3 linked regions of the Macaca fascicularis genome follow. Each later gene encodes a partner of the first gene's protein in a complex. Links are inferred from orthologs where the notes say so. Each region holds a gene or a part of one and is shown on either strand. Other genes may lie near its edges.

Region 1 (4,933 bases):
TCAAAGCAAGCAGATGCAGGGCCAATGCCTTTGCAGACTTCTTCATCTGCTAGCTGTATTCTATCCCTAGGCCTCAGATTCCTCCCCTGTGAAATGGGTGAGACTGGACTAGGTGGCCTTAAGGTGCCTGCTGTTTTTCGCCATCTGAGACAGTTGTAATGCTCACTACCACTAATCAAAGGGTATCCAGTATTGTTGGGGGTTCAGACTACAAGAGCCCATTTTGATAAGCACTGAGGTTAAATCCTCAGTGAAACCATCTGTGGAGTTGTCTGGCCAAGAAAAAATGGTTTCATAGTTGATGCTGAGACACGTGATGCAGAAGGAGGCTGGTATCTCTTGATATGGACTGTGAACTCTACTCCCACACTCACTGCCTGGCACTGACTTTCAGCTCAATGAATGCTATTGAACTGAACCTAATTGAGGGACCATAAAGGACAAGCTTTCCTTAAGGTTCACTGAAAACTAGGACAAGAGGAGATTAAATATCACAGTGTAGTAACGGCAGCTACATTTACTGAGTACCCATCAGGCTTTATGTACCCCATTTCAGTGGCTCTCAAACTTTACCAGGGAGAATAACCCCAGGCTTTGCAGAAGGCCAGGGACGGGGGTGGGGAGGAGGGTGGTGGGGGTGGGGGAGGAGGGGGGGCTGAAAATTTGTGTAAAAAAATTCCCCAGTGACGTTGATCAGAAACTGTATTTTCAGAGCCACTCTGGATTTGACTTAATTACCAGTCTCACAAGGTGAATAGTGTTATGCCTACTTTACAAATGAAGAAATAGAAGTGTCTAAGGGTCTCATAGGTCATAACTGCGAAGAATTTAAAATCAGTTACTTTTGATTCCAAATCTCATTCTTGTCCCACTCCATAAAAGGAGATGTGTGTGTATGTATATATATACATTTTTGAACATGATCATTTCCCTCTACCCAGCCATTCAGATTCACAGTGTATATTTGTATTTCTGACTCTAGAAGAAAATAATTGAAACTTTTATTTTTTGATTTTTGTGATTGTTTTCCTTTATACTTTTTTCTTTGTATCTAAATATACACATTTGTCTCAGGAAAAAAGTTTTTAAAAGTCATTTCGTTTCCGCTGAACTTATCAAACAGAATGTGACATGAAAATATTAATGCTGATTTGTACAAAGAAAATAATCTCCCACCCTACCACTGTAAACTGATTTAGATAAATTTATTATTCAAGTGAGTACTTATAAAGGCAAAGACTTTGGAACCATCCTGAAAAGCAGAAAGTGAAAATTTTCCTTGATCTTTGCCCCCGGAGGAAAGCTGTGGCATATTGGGATGGTTCTTCAGGAGTTTTTCATAGAATATACCAATATTTTATATAATTACGTATTAACATATAATTTGTATAAACGCATAATGTGTTATCTACATTTTCACGCTGCAGAGCAACATTATGCACTGTATAAGACTTACCTAATTAAGCGTAGGTAATTAAGATTATAATTACAGGGCAAGGCTTTAAAGCCCACGGGAGATCGACAGCAGTCAGCCTCGCCCCTCCCTGCCGGCTCAGTTCCTGGCCTCGCCCCTCCCCGCTTCGCCGGCCCCGCCCCTCCCCACTTTGCCTGTCCCTCTCCTCCCCGCCCCGCCGCGCGGGGGCACCTGGGAAGAGGCGGAGAACAATATGGCGGATGGCGAGGAGCCGTAAGTACCGGGGCTCTGCAGACGCGCAGGGCTGGGCTGGGTTGTGAGAGCGCGGCGGTGGGCGGTTGCCGCCGCCACCCGGGATCCCCTCACCCCCCGCCCCGTCCCCTCGCCCCCCTCCCCTCGCGGCGCCCAGTGTGTAGCGCGATGCTGACCCTTCTTTTATTCTCTCTTTTAGGGAGAAGAAAAGAAGGAGAATAGAGGAGCTGCTGGCTGAGAAGTTAGTGCTGCCGGGAGGCCGGGGCCCTCTCCGGGGACCCCCGCCTCCCCCCACCCCAGGCCTAGGGGACCAGCCGCAGCGGGCCCGGGGGGCTGGGAGGGGGACACCCGGAGCGCAGGCCGCGCGGCCTCATCCCCTGATCCCCGTCCCGCAACCCCGGGGGCCTGGCGGGCCGCTCCCGGTCTCTGCCCGGTGCGGGCATCGGGGCCAGGCTGCACTGCCCCAGCTCTTGCAGGGGCCCTCCGGGGTGCCTGACGTAAAGATTTTGAGGAAGGACCCTTGTGCACTCCTCTTCCTCCATCCCAAATTGTCAGAGCCGTGACCCTGTGAAAAGGCAATCTACCTTAAACACACAGGAAAAGGGCACAAGACCGTTTTGTGACCTTTTGCAAACACTGAGACAGTAGTACTAATTGCAAACTTTTAATGATAACTCTACATGTCAGATATTGTGCTAACCACTCCAGTCATTTTGGCAAAATAATTGACTCTTAAAAGAGGTTGTTGACCTCAAACAGCCTATTTTTCCCACTTACTACACAACCTGTTTCTTATCAGATGCTTAGTTCTATGCTGGTGAGACAGATTTAATCGAAGTGTTTTCTAACCTGGCCAGCGCCACAAAATTTACTCCCCTCCCTGCCTGGGCGGGGAAAAAATACTCTTGCATTGGTTATGGTGAGTTTGTAATTTCCGTGCCAGTTCCCAGTAGCAGTGCTTTGGTCTTTATGTATGTCCCTCAGATAGTTGAATTTCAGCTGCAAGAGGACTGGAATGACAAACTTAATTTCACATTCTTTCCTGCCTTTTATTTCCCTCCCACTTTTACATGAAATCACAAACATTGCTTACCATATCCCATGTACTGTACTGAGTCTGCTATGTGATTCTCTCTCCTCATGGCCGAAATAAGTAGCTATGAACGGCCTACAGATGAGGTTTATGGCTATGAATAATCTGCTCAAGGTCACAGTGCTGTTGATCGTGGAACCCTACACAGCTCAGACATCAAACCTATGGTTTTTATTGCTAGGCAATACTTCTTGGTCCCTTTTGTAAAAATTGGATATTACTAATATATTTGACGGTAGAAACCGTGGGGTTATAGGAAATTAGAAAATTAAAAATAATCACAGCCAAACGTGAATCTTACACGAATTATAAAATAGATGCATTTTGTAGCGGAGTCCCACCTTATTCTGTTGTACGTTCTAAAAGGTTTCTATCTGCCTATCTATATGCCTATCTGTGGCGTAATTGTAACCTAAAACTTTGTGTTTAGTGGCAAGAAAAGCCGCCTCACAGTATTAAGAGATTATTTAATAAATTAGGACCTCTGCTAGGTGCGGTGGCCTCACGCCTGTAATCCCAGCACTTTGGGAGGCCGAGGTGGACGGATTACTTGAGCTCAGGAGTTCCAGACCAGCTTGGGCAACATGGCAAAACCTGTCTGTACTACAAATACAAAAATTAGCTGGGTATGGTGGCACGTACCTGTAGGCCCAGCTACTTGGGAGGCTGAGAAAAGGAGAATCGCTTGAGCCCAGGCGGGCAAGGCTGCAGTGAGCTGCAATCATGCCACTGCACTCCAGCCTGGGCAACACAGTGAGACTCTGTCTCAAAAAAAAAAGAAAAAGAAAAAGAAAAAATAACCTCTATTTCTGAGAAAAGTGTGTGAAAAGTCCTCGCATCAAAATGATTTTTATATTACACCTTTGGAAAGGACACATAAATACTAAATTTGCATCAGACACATAAGCATCAAAATTCTCAAAGTGTGACTTTTTTTCTCTGTTGTATCTCATATTTCCTAATGCAAGTGTGTTGAAGCAACAGATTGAGGAAGTTTGCAGTGATTTTTTTGTAAATACCAAATGTAGAGAAGTCAATTTCTCACACAGACCAATATCCTAAGTTGGACCTTGGATTTCTTTAGGAAACCAAAAACATGTAGACTGATTTATTTCATCCATTGGGTGAAATAAAAATAGAAACATGCAGTTCTTAACTTTAAGTGAATTGTATAATAGGCAAGAAAAAATTTCAAAGCATAAACATAATCACGTTGAATATTTCCCTTTTTATTTGAGCAGGTCTGGTGTGGTTACCTTTTCATTTGGGAATACCATAATAGTTGTAGGTGTTTTTTTTTTCGTACTGATCTTTGCAGCTGAATTTACTGTGTTCTGTGCAGAATGGCTGTTGATGGTGGGTGTGGGGACACTGGAGACTGGGAAGGTCGCTGGAACCATGTAAAGAAGTTCCTCGAGCGATCTGGACCCTTCACACACCCTGATTTCGAACCGAGCACTGAAGTGAGAAACGTTTATTTTTAAATAACTGCTCTAATAGTTTAATGTTTCAAAACTAATAGAATGCTTCCTTTTTAATTTGCTCTTACAATGAAAATACTAATAAAATTGTTTTGTGAAACTAAATTTTTCTTAAAATATGAAATTGAATATTCACAGCTGATTTTGTTTGAATGACTATTTGAGTCATCACATTTCTCATGTAATATAAGTTGAAAGTTTTCGTGAGAAAAATAACGTTATGACCTCATGTAAAAATTTAAAATTTCAGTTTAAAATGCTTTCTGAAACATACTCCCCTTTTGTAGTGCTACTGTGAGAAATTAATTTTGATAGGAATATAGATGTGCTTATTTAAATTTTGGAATTGAATTGGAATGAACATCTTAGCTTTGAGTATAATTAATTGCATGTTAAGAATTATGTGAGTACTAAATAATAGAGGCATAGAATTTTGGACTGATAGTGTCTTAAGGCAAGTGTTCAGTTATATGTGACTTATTTTTTTATTACAGGGTAGGGAAAAGTACTCTATAGCACATCTTTATGTCCTTTTGTATTTATAAAAAGATAATATTTTGAAATAGAAATATTGTGTTACTCCTATAAAATAACATGCAAACTCTTGGTTTGGCCCAGTGTCTCATCTGAATAACTTTCTCCTTTAATGCTGGGCAGAATTGAAAGCATTACAAATAAAAAAAAAGAAAAAAA
Region 2 (4,846 bases), on another chromosome or scaffold:
GACCCAGTGCCATTGACTATTTTGCCCTAGCCATCTTCCCCTTCCATCGCATTGTCCAGGTCCTTCACACAGCCCCTCTCCCCCACCCCTCCAATGGATGACTTGGGTGCAGGTAACACAGGGTGAAAGGCAGTTTCAAAGAAGTGGTCTGTGTGCAGCAGGGTACAGCTTGAGCCTTAAACCCCACTGAAGGTCTCGCTCTGGGCACGTGTCAGGCTAGTCTTGGCCTGGGCATTTCCAGTAACAGAGACTTGAAGTTTGTGTGTCCAAGCTTCTTTCGGGGTGCAGCCGGACTTCCCCCTGCTGCTTCAAGTCACCCTAACCCCCAAGACTAGGGGCCTGGCCTCGGGGGAAGCAGACAAGCCAGCCTTGGCCAGAGGCCACTCCTGGGGGAGGATCTGCAGAATCAGAGGAGTGGCGCCTGGGGCCCTCCGCAGGGAAAGGCCACCACACCACGCGCTCACGGGGCCGGTAGTTTCCGTGGTGACGGCCGGAAGTCGCAGACCCGCAGAGTTCTGTTTCCTCCCGCCCTCCGAGGCACGCTGAGCTGTGATTGGATGGGAAGTTGACCCCGCCTCCATCCCCTTTTCCAGCTAGCAGGGGAAGCGCAGAGACTCCAGTGCGTCTCCGCTGGCACTCGGGGCCCATGCCAATAGCGCCCACGCTCCGCCCGCACGTCACGTTCCCCAAGTGTCCACCCCGACAGGTCTTCCCCTACACCACTGTAACCCTCCATAGTGCTTACCACTCTCTGGCACAATACATGTTTTGTTAGTTTACCTCAATCAGAATCTCCAGGAACGGGGATCTTTGGGTTTGCGATAGGACAGTGAGGGTGCTCGACCTCGCACCCTCTGGGTAACGCCTCTAGTCTCACTCAGGGTCTTGCCGCGATCACCCTGCCTTGTCTGTGACCTATGGGGTCAAAGGCAGGCCGTGTGGGTGGCGGCAGCAGCGGAGACGACCACCCACGCCGCGCTCTGCACATACACAACACAGGATGAAGTGACCGCGAGCAAAGTGGCCCGTGTCTGCCCCACTAAAAGATGGCGGCTAACCCCGCTTCCTGCCCGGCCCCGCGAGAGTCGCCGGAAGTGACCCGCAGGGCCGCCGAAGCGTCATCTCCATGAACGGAAATACCCGAGTCCAGCCGAAGGAGGCCGAACCCCAAACTCCATCGCTGAGCAACGCGGGTTTGCGGCGGCTGCGCAGGCGCACAACGCAGGCCGGGCGGGAAGAGCCAAAGCGGGCAGGCGGCGGAAATATCCGAAGCCGCGGGGCGCCCGAGGCCGTTGCAGACCTCCGCGCTAAAGCCGCTGCTGCCGCGGAAGACGATCCTCCAATACCCACCCGCCGTCACCGCGGCTGCCGCGTCCTCCTTCCACCCCTAGCCGCAGCCCCTTCGCGGAGGGATCAGCTGAGCGGCAAACGGCACGGTCCGGGGAGCCCCGAGTCCGCAGCTGCAGCGGGGCCTGAGACCAGAGTGGGCGAGGGCAAGGAAGGAGCGGCCCGGGGCAGTGGGGGCGGGGCCGGGCAGGCCCGAGAACAGCCGAATTTGGCCGAGAGCTGCCGAGCGAGCCCGAGGCTCTGGGCCAGGCCGGGGCCGGACTACGGGAGCCGAGGCGGGCCGCGCGGTGGGCGCGGAGCGGCGCGGCAGGCCGGGCGGGTGGCGGCAGCAGCGCAGGAGGCCGCAGCGGCGGGTCCGAGGAGCGGAGGCGACGCGGGCGGCGGCGGGGGGCCGGGTGGCCGGGGTCCCGGGCCCCGCGGCGGCGGCAGCGGCGGCGGCGGCGGCAGGATGATCAAGCTGTTCTCGCTGAAGCAGCAGAAGAAGGAGGAGGAGTCGGCGGGCGGCACCAAGGGCAGCAGCAAGAAGGCGTCGGCGGCGCAGCTGCGGATCCAGAAGGGTAGGGGGTCAGGGGATGGGGTTGGAGCTGGAGGTCGGAGGTCAGGGCCTGAGGCAGGGTGATGTTGAGAGTCAGGAGGGGGTAATGCTGTTGCCGAGGGTCAGAGGTGGAGGGCCCCGAGTCGCGGGGGGGGGTCGGAGTTCAGGTCTTGAGGGTTGGGATCATGCAGTCACGGGGCGGGGGTCAGAGATGGGGCCCGGTATGTGGTGGTTTAGGATATTAGGAAGGCCTGGCGTCTGGTACTAGGGACTCGGAATCTCAGAGTCAGGCAGTGGAGTGGAGGAGCTGGGGACTGGAGAGTATGGGGGTTAGACGGGAACTTGGGTTTGGGGTGACAGGCGAAAAAGAGACGGATAGTAGAGGCTAAAGGTTGGGGATATGAGTGGGAGAGGATTTAGTGTATTATGCTGGGGTCTCTGGGAATCTCAGAGTCAAACGGGTAAAGTAAGTTGGAGGATTAGGGACTCGTGGGCCTACCTGAGAGTCACAGCAATTTGGATTTGGGCTTTGGGGTAACAGGTGGAGGAAGGAAGGTTAGTGAGTACCAGGGATTGGAGACAGGGGTGAGGGGAAATTTAGGCTATTGTGCTGTGAACCTCAGAGTCAAAGGAGGTGGGGCAGGGTGGTGGGGGTTGGGGACTTGAGATTGTGGGGGTCAGATGGGAAGCTGGGTCTGAGAGAGAAGAGGAAGGACAGTGAGGACTGAGGGTTGGTGGGGGTGGGCAGGATCTTTGAGTTTGGGTGAACAGGTAGATACTGGAGAGTGGAGGTCATGGATGGGGAGCCTGGAGTTTAGGGCAGTCAGAGGATGTTTGGGAGTGGGGGCATTTGGGAGCTGTGGATACAGAACAGTTGGGGGTTACCCTGGGCCAGGAGTTGAGACACGCATACACAACTAAACATGCATGTTTGGGGTATGATGTGTATCCACAAGAGCCAAGCTAGGGAACAGGGAGAGGGCTGGAGGTGTGGAGCACAGCCCAGGACAGAGGCCTAGGGGTCTAGGAGGAGACCATGGGGGTTCTGCTAACAAACACCTGCCCTAAGTGTCCTGCTGGCTCCCTCTCTCTCTCTCTTCCCCTCCCTCTTTCTGACCCCCACTCTCTGCTGCCCAAACCCAGACATAAACGAGCTGAACCTGCCCAAGACGTGTGATATCAGCTTCTCAGATCCAGACGACCTCCTCAACTTCAAGCTGGTCATCTGTCCTGATGAGGTGAGGGTGCATATGGCTGAATTCCCAGGAGCAGACCAAGGGTGTCCCCACTGAGAGGAGGGAGACATATTCTGCCCATCAGGCCCCACAGGATGGAACCCTAAAATTTTCTTCTCCCCCTTTCCCTCCCAGGGCTTCTACAAGAGTGGGAAGTTTGTGTTCAGTTTTAAGGTGAGTCCCAGGCAGGCAGGGATGGCTCCCTGGACTGAGGAGGCAGCAGCTGAGGCCCTTCCAGGGACCTACCCATCTCTCCTTTCTTTTCCTGGAGCCAGGTGGGCCAGGGGTACCCACATGATCCCCCCAAGGTGAAGTGTGAGACAATGGTCTATCACCCCAACATTGACCTCGAGGGCAACGTCTGCCTCAACATCCTCAGGTGAAGGCACGGGCCCTCTACTGCCCTCCCCAGCCCTGCCTGCCAGGTCCCCCTCATGGTCTTGTGGGCACTACATCAGACTCTGTCCCTTCCCACCCCTTTGTTGTTTGTGATTTCTTCATTTCCCAGTCATCTTCCTCATGGCCTGACCTTGGTTTTCTCCCTGGCCTAGCCTGCTGCACACCCTCCCTCCCAGCCTCTCACATGCTCACTCTCCTATGCCCTGGATCTGACCTGCCCAATACCAGAGGGGCCTCTGGCAGTCTCCCACTCACCAAGCTCTGACCCTGATGCTCTCTGTCCACAGAGAGGACTGGAAGCCAGTCCTTACGATAAACTCCATAATTTATGGCCTGCAGTATCTCTTCTTGGTGAGTAGGAATAGGTGGTTGGGTCTGGGGAGACTGGCCTTCTGTCCCTCTGGCCTGTTGACCCCCCTACCTGTACTGGCCACAGGAGCCCAACCCCGAGGACCCACTGAACAAGGAGGCTGCAGAGGTCCTGCAGAACAACCGGCGGCTGTTTGAGCAGAACGTGCAGCGCTCCATGCGGGGTGGCTACATCGGCTCCACCTACTTCGAGCGCTGCCTGAAATAGGGTTGGCGCATACCCACCCCCGCCACGGCCACAAGCCCTGGCATCCCCTGCAAATATTTATTGGGGGCCATCGGTAGGGGTTTGGGGGGCGGCCCGTGGGGGAATTCCCTGCCTTGGCCTTACCTCCCCTTCCTGCCACTTGCCCCTAGTTATTTTTTTTTTTTTTTTTTTTTACCACCATGTGATTAAGGTCGGCGCTGCCTCCCCCGACCCACTCAGCGATGGGAAATGAATTGGCTTGTCTAGCCCCCCTGCTGGGTGCTTGTTCAGCCCCCACTCTGGGCTGTGGAGTGGGTGGGTAAGGGGCCTGGGTAGCTGGGCCCAGGCAACCCACCCCTCCACCTCTGGAGGTCGCACCAGGCTATTAAAGGGGAATGTTACTGCATGGCCTCTGCTTCTTACTTCTATGGGGTGGGTGGGGCAGCTGAGGTCCATTAGGGCCTGCAAAGCTGGGGTGGTGGAACGTCTGGGCACAGGTGGCATTGCAGCACCCTACAACAGGCTGCCCAGTGCCTGGGGCAGCTCTCGAGTTGGTGGGGATACCAGGCCAGAGCCTGGGGTTGGTTGGGATGAAGCCTACTCTAGGATGAGAAGCGTAGGCAGGATCCAGTGACCTCTGGGTTCCTGGCCAAGAGGGCAGCACAGTGGAAGAAACAAGCCATCTCTAGCTTTGCCCCTTTCTTGTGTGGGTGGGCCCACCGAGGAGGAGGAGCCTCCTGAGGCTCCCTCTATCTGAGGCCTCAGGCAGAAGTC
Region 3 (5,061 bases), on another chromosome or scaffold:
GCTTTAAAGTATATTACCCAGTGTACATTCTAATAGAATGATTAATGTGCCTTCCCTGTTACCTGATCTAAAGCAGATTACCCCTTGTTATGTAGCCAGTATGTCCTCCAGAGCGTATGTCAAGCAACTGTGTTTTCTGTTTGTTTGTTTTTGATACAGGGTCTTACTATGTTGTCCAGACTGGTCTTGAACTCCTGGGTTCAAGCATTCCTCTCGCCTCAGCCTCTAGAGTTGCTGGGACTACAGGCACAAGCTACTGCACCTGGCTTCATTTGTTTTTGTTTGCTGAGCATCCATCTTTCCACTTCGTAAGGGCCCAGACAGCTGTCAAATGTATGGAGGAATCGTCTAGAAGAACCAGATGGACTGTAAATGCCTGTTTTCTCCATCAAAGTATGGCATGTAGAAGACACCTGAGATACATGGTTGACAGATGCTTGGATCATTGGAGAGTAAATTTAAGAATACTGGTGCATCTTGGCCGGGCGCGGTGGCTCGCACCTGTAATCTCAGCACTTTGGGAGGCCGAGGCAGGCAGATCACCTGAGGTCAGGAGTTTGAGACCAGGCTGGCCTACTAAATATACAAAAATTAGACAGGCGCAGTGGCGCGCACCTGTAATCCCAGCTACTCGGGAGGCTGAGGCATGAGAATCACATGAACGCAGGAGGCAGAGATTGCAGTGAGCCAAGACCACACCACTGCACTCCAGCCTGCGCAACAGAGTGAGACTCCATTTCAAGAAAAAAAATACTGGTGCATCTCAAGCAGGGTGAGACAGTGTGTGTCTGTAATCCCAGCTGCTTGGGAGACTGATGCAGGAGGATCACTCCAGCCCATGAGATCAAGGCTGTGGTGTGCCAATAATCAGACCTGCGAACAGCCACTGCACTCCAGCCTGGGTAACATACTGAGACCCACCTCAAAAATAAAACAAAAAGGATACTGAGGCCAGGCGCTGTGGCTCATGCCTGTAATCCTAGCACTTTGAGAGGCTGAGGCAGGAGGATCACTTGAGTGCAGGGGTTCGAGACCAGCCTGGGCAAACCCCCATCTCTAAAAAAGTTAGCCAAGCATGGTGGCACATGCCTGTAGTCCCAGCTACTGAAGAGGCTGAGGCAGGAGGATCATTGGAGCCCAGGAAATTGAGGCTGCAGTGAACAGTGTTCCTGCCACTGCACTCTAGCCATTGTACTCTAGCCTGGGTCAAAGAGTGAGACCTTGCCCCTGGAGAAAAAAAAAAAAAAAGAATCCTAGTGTGTCTCTAAGTAACATGCTTCAAGAAGAGGCCAAGTGAATCAGTCCTCTCTACTATCTTGCTGGCCCAACTATGGTGAAGTCAGGCGGAGCTTATTGACTGCTGGATTTTGCTTCTAACTGCTTCCCTTTGACACTTCAAAACCAGTTCTCACAATGAAAGGTAAAGTTTGGGACTTAAATGGAATGCCCTCAGCAAAAATCCTCTTTTGTTAGAGTTGCTTAGTAACCTCAACTATCTTCTCAGCTCTGTCATGCACAGTTATACCTGCATTAGAAACACAAGAACTCCAAGAATTTACAAGAAAACCTAAGTTGGTTATAAGGACTGTTACCTTGTTTCTTTTCCTAAAAGCCTGGAAGCAGGATGTAACTGAGTACCTCCAAAAAAGCCAGAAGAGCCTGAGTTTACCTCCTGGCTCAAAGATATGGGGAATTCTGGGCAAGTTACCTAACTTCTCCAAGACTCAGTTTCTCCAACTGTAAGGCACAGGAAATGGCTGCTTTCAAGGGTGCTCTCAGAATTAAGTGCCCAAAGCCTCTAATACAGCACTAGGCTAGTGGCGCAAATAGAAGCTCCAGTCCTTGGGGACATATAACTTCTGTTATCTCAGAGGCTCCAGGAAGGAGGAAAGCCAAGCCGCTTTATCTCCACAGCCTCAAGACATAGAAGACGCTCAATAAACAAGGAATGGGGAGTGCAAGCAGAAAAGGCAAGGGTGGGGAAGTACCCAAGGACCCTTCTGATGACTTAGGCCTGCACTGTCCATTAAGGTAGCTGCTAGCCACATGTACTACTGAGCACAAGCAGCGAGGCTAGTGTTAACTGAGATGTGCTGTTAAGTGTAAAATACAGTATTTCTAAGACAGTTTTGGGGGGGCTTTTTTTGACAGAGTCTCGCTCTGTCACCCAGGCTGGAGTGCAGTGGCACGATCTCGGCTCACTGAAACCTACACCTCCTGGATTCAAGCGATTCTCCAGCCTCAGCTTCCAGAGTAACTAGGATTACAGGCGCGCCCCACCACGCCCAGCTAATTTTTGAATTTTTAAATAGAAACAGGGTTTCACCATGTTGCCCAGGCTGGTATCGAACTCCTGACCTCAGGTGATCCGCCTGCCTCGGCCTCCCAAAGTGCTGATTACAGGCATGAGTCACTGTGCCGGTCCTCTAAGGCAGTTTTAAAAAGGAAAATACCCATGACCAGCTTGGGCAAGGTGGCGAAAACCTCGTTTCTACCCAAAAAAAAAAAAAAAAAAAAAAAAAATTTGAAATAAAAATTTAAGTAAAATATCTCAATAACTTTTTATATTGATAGTGTTGAAACAGTAATGTTTTGGACATATTGGATTAAACGGTATTTAAAAATCAATTTCACCTGTTTCATTTTACCTTTAGTGTGGTTACTAGAAAATTTATAATTACATTTGCGGCTCACATGAGACTAGCATTTTATTTCCATTGGACAGCCCCGGCTGAGAACAAAACCTAACCCTCTGTGCCGCCCTCGCGGCCGGGATGGGGTGCGCTCCGGGCCTCCCCATTCGGAAAACGAGGAGCCCGGGCGCAGCGAGGCGGAGCTGGCAGCCGCCTTAGCGACCCGGCTGGCGCTGGGGACCGCGGCCCCCCGAACCGCACACCGCGTGGCGGGGGAAAGGGTCCCAGCCTTCGCGGAGGACCTCTGGCCCAGGGTGGGAGCCCCGGGCGCCGGCTTCCCGCGCCCCGCACAGCCCGGCCCAGCCTGGAAGAAGGCCTGAGGGAGGCCCGACCACGCCGCCCGCGCCCTTAGGCCCGGCCCGGCCGCTGGGAAGCCCGCCGGCCCACCCTCGGCTCGGTGAGCCTCGGCTCACCTCAGCTGCCGGTCGTACTTCTGCTCCTTGAGCAGCTTCCCCGGCTGCGCCATGGCCGCGCCCGCAGCGCGGAGAACAGCGGAGCCCCAGCGGACCGCCGCCACCAGCTCCACAAGCGCGCAGGCGCACTGAGCGCCCCTCAGCCGCTACCGCCCCCTGCGCGCCGCCTGCAGGGGGCGCCTCACTGCACTGCGCACGCGTCGCCGGTACGCCGGGGCGAAGGCGGTCTCGGTACCCGAGGGTCTGGGGCTCTCGAGCCCCGTCGGCCGGAAGAGCAGCCCCGCTAGCTTGCCAGTTCGCCCTCTGTCCGTGCAGTAATTGGGGGAAACTGGGGCCTTGGAATCAGGCATACTTGTATTTTGACCACTTAACTGGTTGTGAGATCTACTCTTTACCTCTCAAATCCTCAGTTTGCTCACCTGTGCAGTGGGGATAAATGGGTCCCAAGTGTCTTTTGACCTTAAATAAGATTTTGAATACAGGAGACCAGACTCCCCCCAAATCTTACATGAATAAAAACTTTCATTATGATAATCATTATTTTTCACCCATTTCTTCCTCTCATGAAAAGCCCACAAGCCTATTTTGGTTTTTTTTGTTTTTTTGGTTTTTTGTTTTGTTTTTTTTTGTTTTTTTGTTTTTGAGACGGAGTCTTGCTGTCTCTCCCAGTCCGGAGTGCAGTGGCGTGATCTCGGCTCACTGCAAGCTCCGCCTCCCGGGTTCACGCCATTCTCCTGCCTCAGCTTCCCGAGTAGCTGGGACTACAGGCGCCCGCCACCACGCCCGGCTAATTTTTTGTATTTTTAGCAAAGACGGGGTTTCACAGTGTTAGCCAGGATGGTCTCGATCTCCTGACCTCGTGATCCGCCCGTCTCGGCCTCCCAAAGTGCTGGGATTACAGGCGTGAGCCACCACGCCCGGCCTACAAGCCTATTTTGAATCAAAGCTAGGGGCTCCCTTCTGCAGATGCAGACAAGTCCAGGGCTCTATTCTTGGAGAGTTTAGTCTCATGAAGGAAGAGAGACAGTAAACAAGCACTTACCAGACAATGTGGCCTTCCTCCAGATAGAGGGAAGCAGGGTGCTCAGGGGTGCACAGAAGAACCTCCCCACTCCCCCTCTCCAAGAATGTTTCATGTGGTGTGGAGATGGAGGAGTGTTTTGTTTTGTTTTGTTTTGTTTGAGACAGGGTCTCGCGCTGTTGCTCAGGCTGGAGTTCAGTGGTGTGATCTCAATTCGCTGCAGCCTCAACCTCCCAGGCAGCAATACTCCCACTTCAGCCTCCCAAGTAGCTGGGACTACAGGCATGCACCACCACACCCAGCTAATTTTGGTACTTTTTTTGTAGAGATGGGGTTTCGCCATGGCCCAGGCTGGTCTCAAACTCCTGGGCTCAAGCGATCTGCCTACCTTGGCCTCCCGATGTGCTGAAATTACAGGCATGAGCCACCATGCGCAGCTGGAAGGATGTTTCAAGCATAAAGAACAGCAGGTGCCATCTCTAGGAAGCCAAGAACGCATAACGAGCTGTAGGTGCTAGAGTAAGTTTGGTCAGGAGAAGGATAGGGAGTGGTTGAGAAGGTTTGAGAGACAGTTGGGACGGGCTGGGTTCTAAGGACTGTGAACCTAGATCCAAGGAGGAATTTAAAGTCCTCCACTTCCTGAAAAGACCCTCCTTTCAGGAAGAGAATGGCTGTCCTGTGGGGATGGGAGGCCAAGGAAGGAGGTTATCCCATGAGGACAATTGGGAGGGGGTGGTGGTGCTGAAGACAAGGTGACCATCTGTGAGGGAGATGAAGACTCCTTCCCCTCTATCTCACAGACCCTACAGGCAACTTGAGGTTAATAACTGCCTGAAATAAGGTGAACATGAGCACAGATCCCCACCCCCAATCCCCTAGGATGGGGACCAGAGAGGTGGCACAGTTTGATGGTAATGATGTAGTGATGATGGAT

Evidence for each region. Proteins that work in one complex are often made in the same cells at the same time.
Region 2: the proteins of UBA3 (region 1) and UBE2M are in contact, whole or in part, in a crystal structure (PDB 2NVU), measured with the Homo sapiens proteins. The link is inferred for Macaca fascicularis from reciprocal best matches to the Homo sapiens genes UBA3 and UBE2M. Residues at the interface, in NP_003959.3 of Homo sapiens: His53, Pro54, Asp55, Glu61, Ser62, Phe65, Cys70, Gln149, Asn152, Asp153, Thr154, Arg157, Gln158, Phe159, His160, Ile170, Arg173, Trp174, Ser181, Leu182, Leu183, Asn184, Pro192, Ile195, Val196, Pro197, Leu214, Met217, Arg254, Met255; in NP_003960.1 of Homo sapiens: Lys3, Leu4, Phe5, Ser6, Leu7, Lys8, Gln9, Gln10, Lys11, Lys12, Glu15, Lys21, Gly22, Ser23, Ser24, Lys25, Lys26, Ala27, Gln31, Leu32, Gln35, Lys36, Ile38, Asn39, Glu40, Phe51, Ser52, Asp53, Pro54, Asp55.
Region 3: the proteins of UBA3 (region 1) and NAE1 are in contact, whole or in part, in a crystal structure (PDB 3DBR), measured with the Homo sapiens proteins. The link is inferred for Macaca fascicularis from reciprocal best matches to the Homo sapiens genes UBA3 and NAE1. Residues at the interface, in NP_003959.3 of Homo sapiens: Trp34, Glu35, Gly36, Arg37, Trp38, Asn39, His40, Lys43, Phe44, Glu46, Arg47, Ser48, Gly49, Pro50, Phe51, Thr52, Phe56, Glu83, Lys86, Asn87, Leu90, Ser91, Val106, Ser107, Leu109, Asn110, Arg111, Phe113, Leu114, Arg116; in NP_003896.1 of Homo sapiens: Glu10, Gln11, Lys12, Tyr13, Asp14, Arg15, Gln16, Leu17, Arg18, Leu19, Trp20, Asp22, Glu44, Lys47, Asn48, Leu51, Pro52, Gly67, Glu68, Ala70, Gly71, Asn72, Asn73, Phe74, Phe75, Gln77, Arg78, Ile81, Phe92, Glu95.

Annotation. Positions count from the first base shown.
Region 1 is NC_088376.1:132,167,975-132,172,907, reverse strand, and holds the start of UBA3 (NEDD8-activating enzyme E1 catalytic subunit), read left to right. Parts: upstream 1-1,657; 5' UTR 1,658-1,667; coding exon 1,668-1,687; intron 1,688-1,865; coding exon 1,866-1,907; intron 1,908-4,101; coding exon 4,102-4,222; intron 4,223-4,933. UniProt on the Homo sapiens protein: Catalytic subunit of the dimeric UBA3-NAE1 E1 enzyme. E1 activates NEDD8 by first adenylating its C-terminal glycine residue with ATP, thereafter linking this residue to the side chain of the catalytic cysteine, yielding a NEDD8-UBA3 thioester and free AMP.
Region 2 is NC_088393.1:66,290,360-66,295,205, reverse strand, and holds UBE2M (NEDD8-conjugating enzyme Ubc12), read left to right. Parts: upstream 1-1,610; 5' UTR 1,611-1,795; coding exon 1,796-1,904; intron 1,905-3,025; coding exon 3,026-3,120; intron 3,121-3,252; coding exon 3,253-3,291; intron 3,292-3,392; coding exon 3,393-3,496; intron 3,497-3,803; coding exon 3,804-3,867; intron 3,868-3,952; coding exon 3,953-4,093; 3' UTR 4,094-4,478; downstream 4,479-4,846.
Region 3 is NC_088394.1:62,843,104-62,848,164, forward strand, and holds the start of NAE1 (NEDD8-activating enzyme E1 regulatory subunit), read right to left. Parts: upstream 3,237-5,061; 5' UTR 3,160-3,236; coding exon 3,107-3,159; intron 1-3,106. UniProt on the Homo sapiens protein: Regulatory subunit of the dimeric UBA3-NAE1 E1 enzyme. E1 activates NEDD8 by first adenylating its C-terminal glycine residue with ATP, thereafter linking this residue to the side chain of the catalytic cysteine, yielding a NEDD8-UBA3 thioester and free AMP.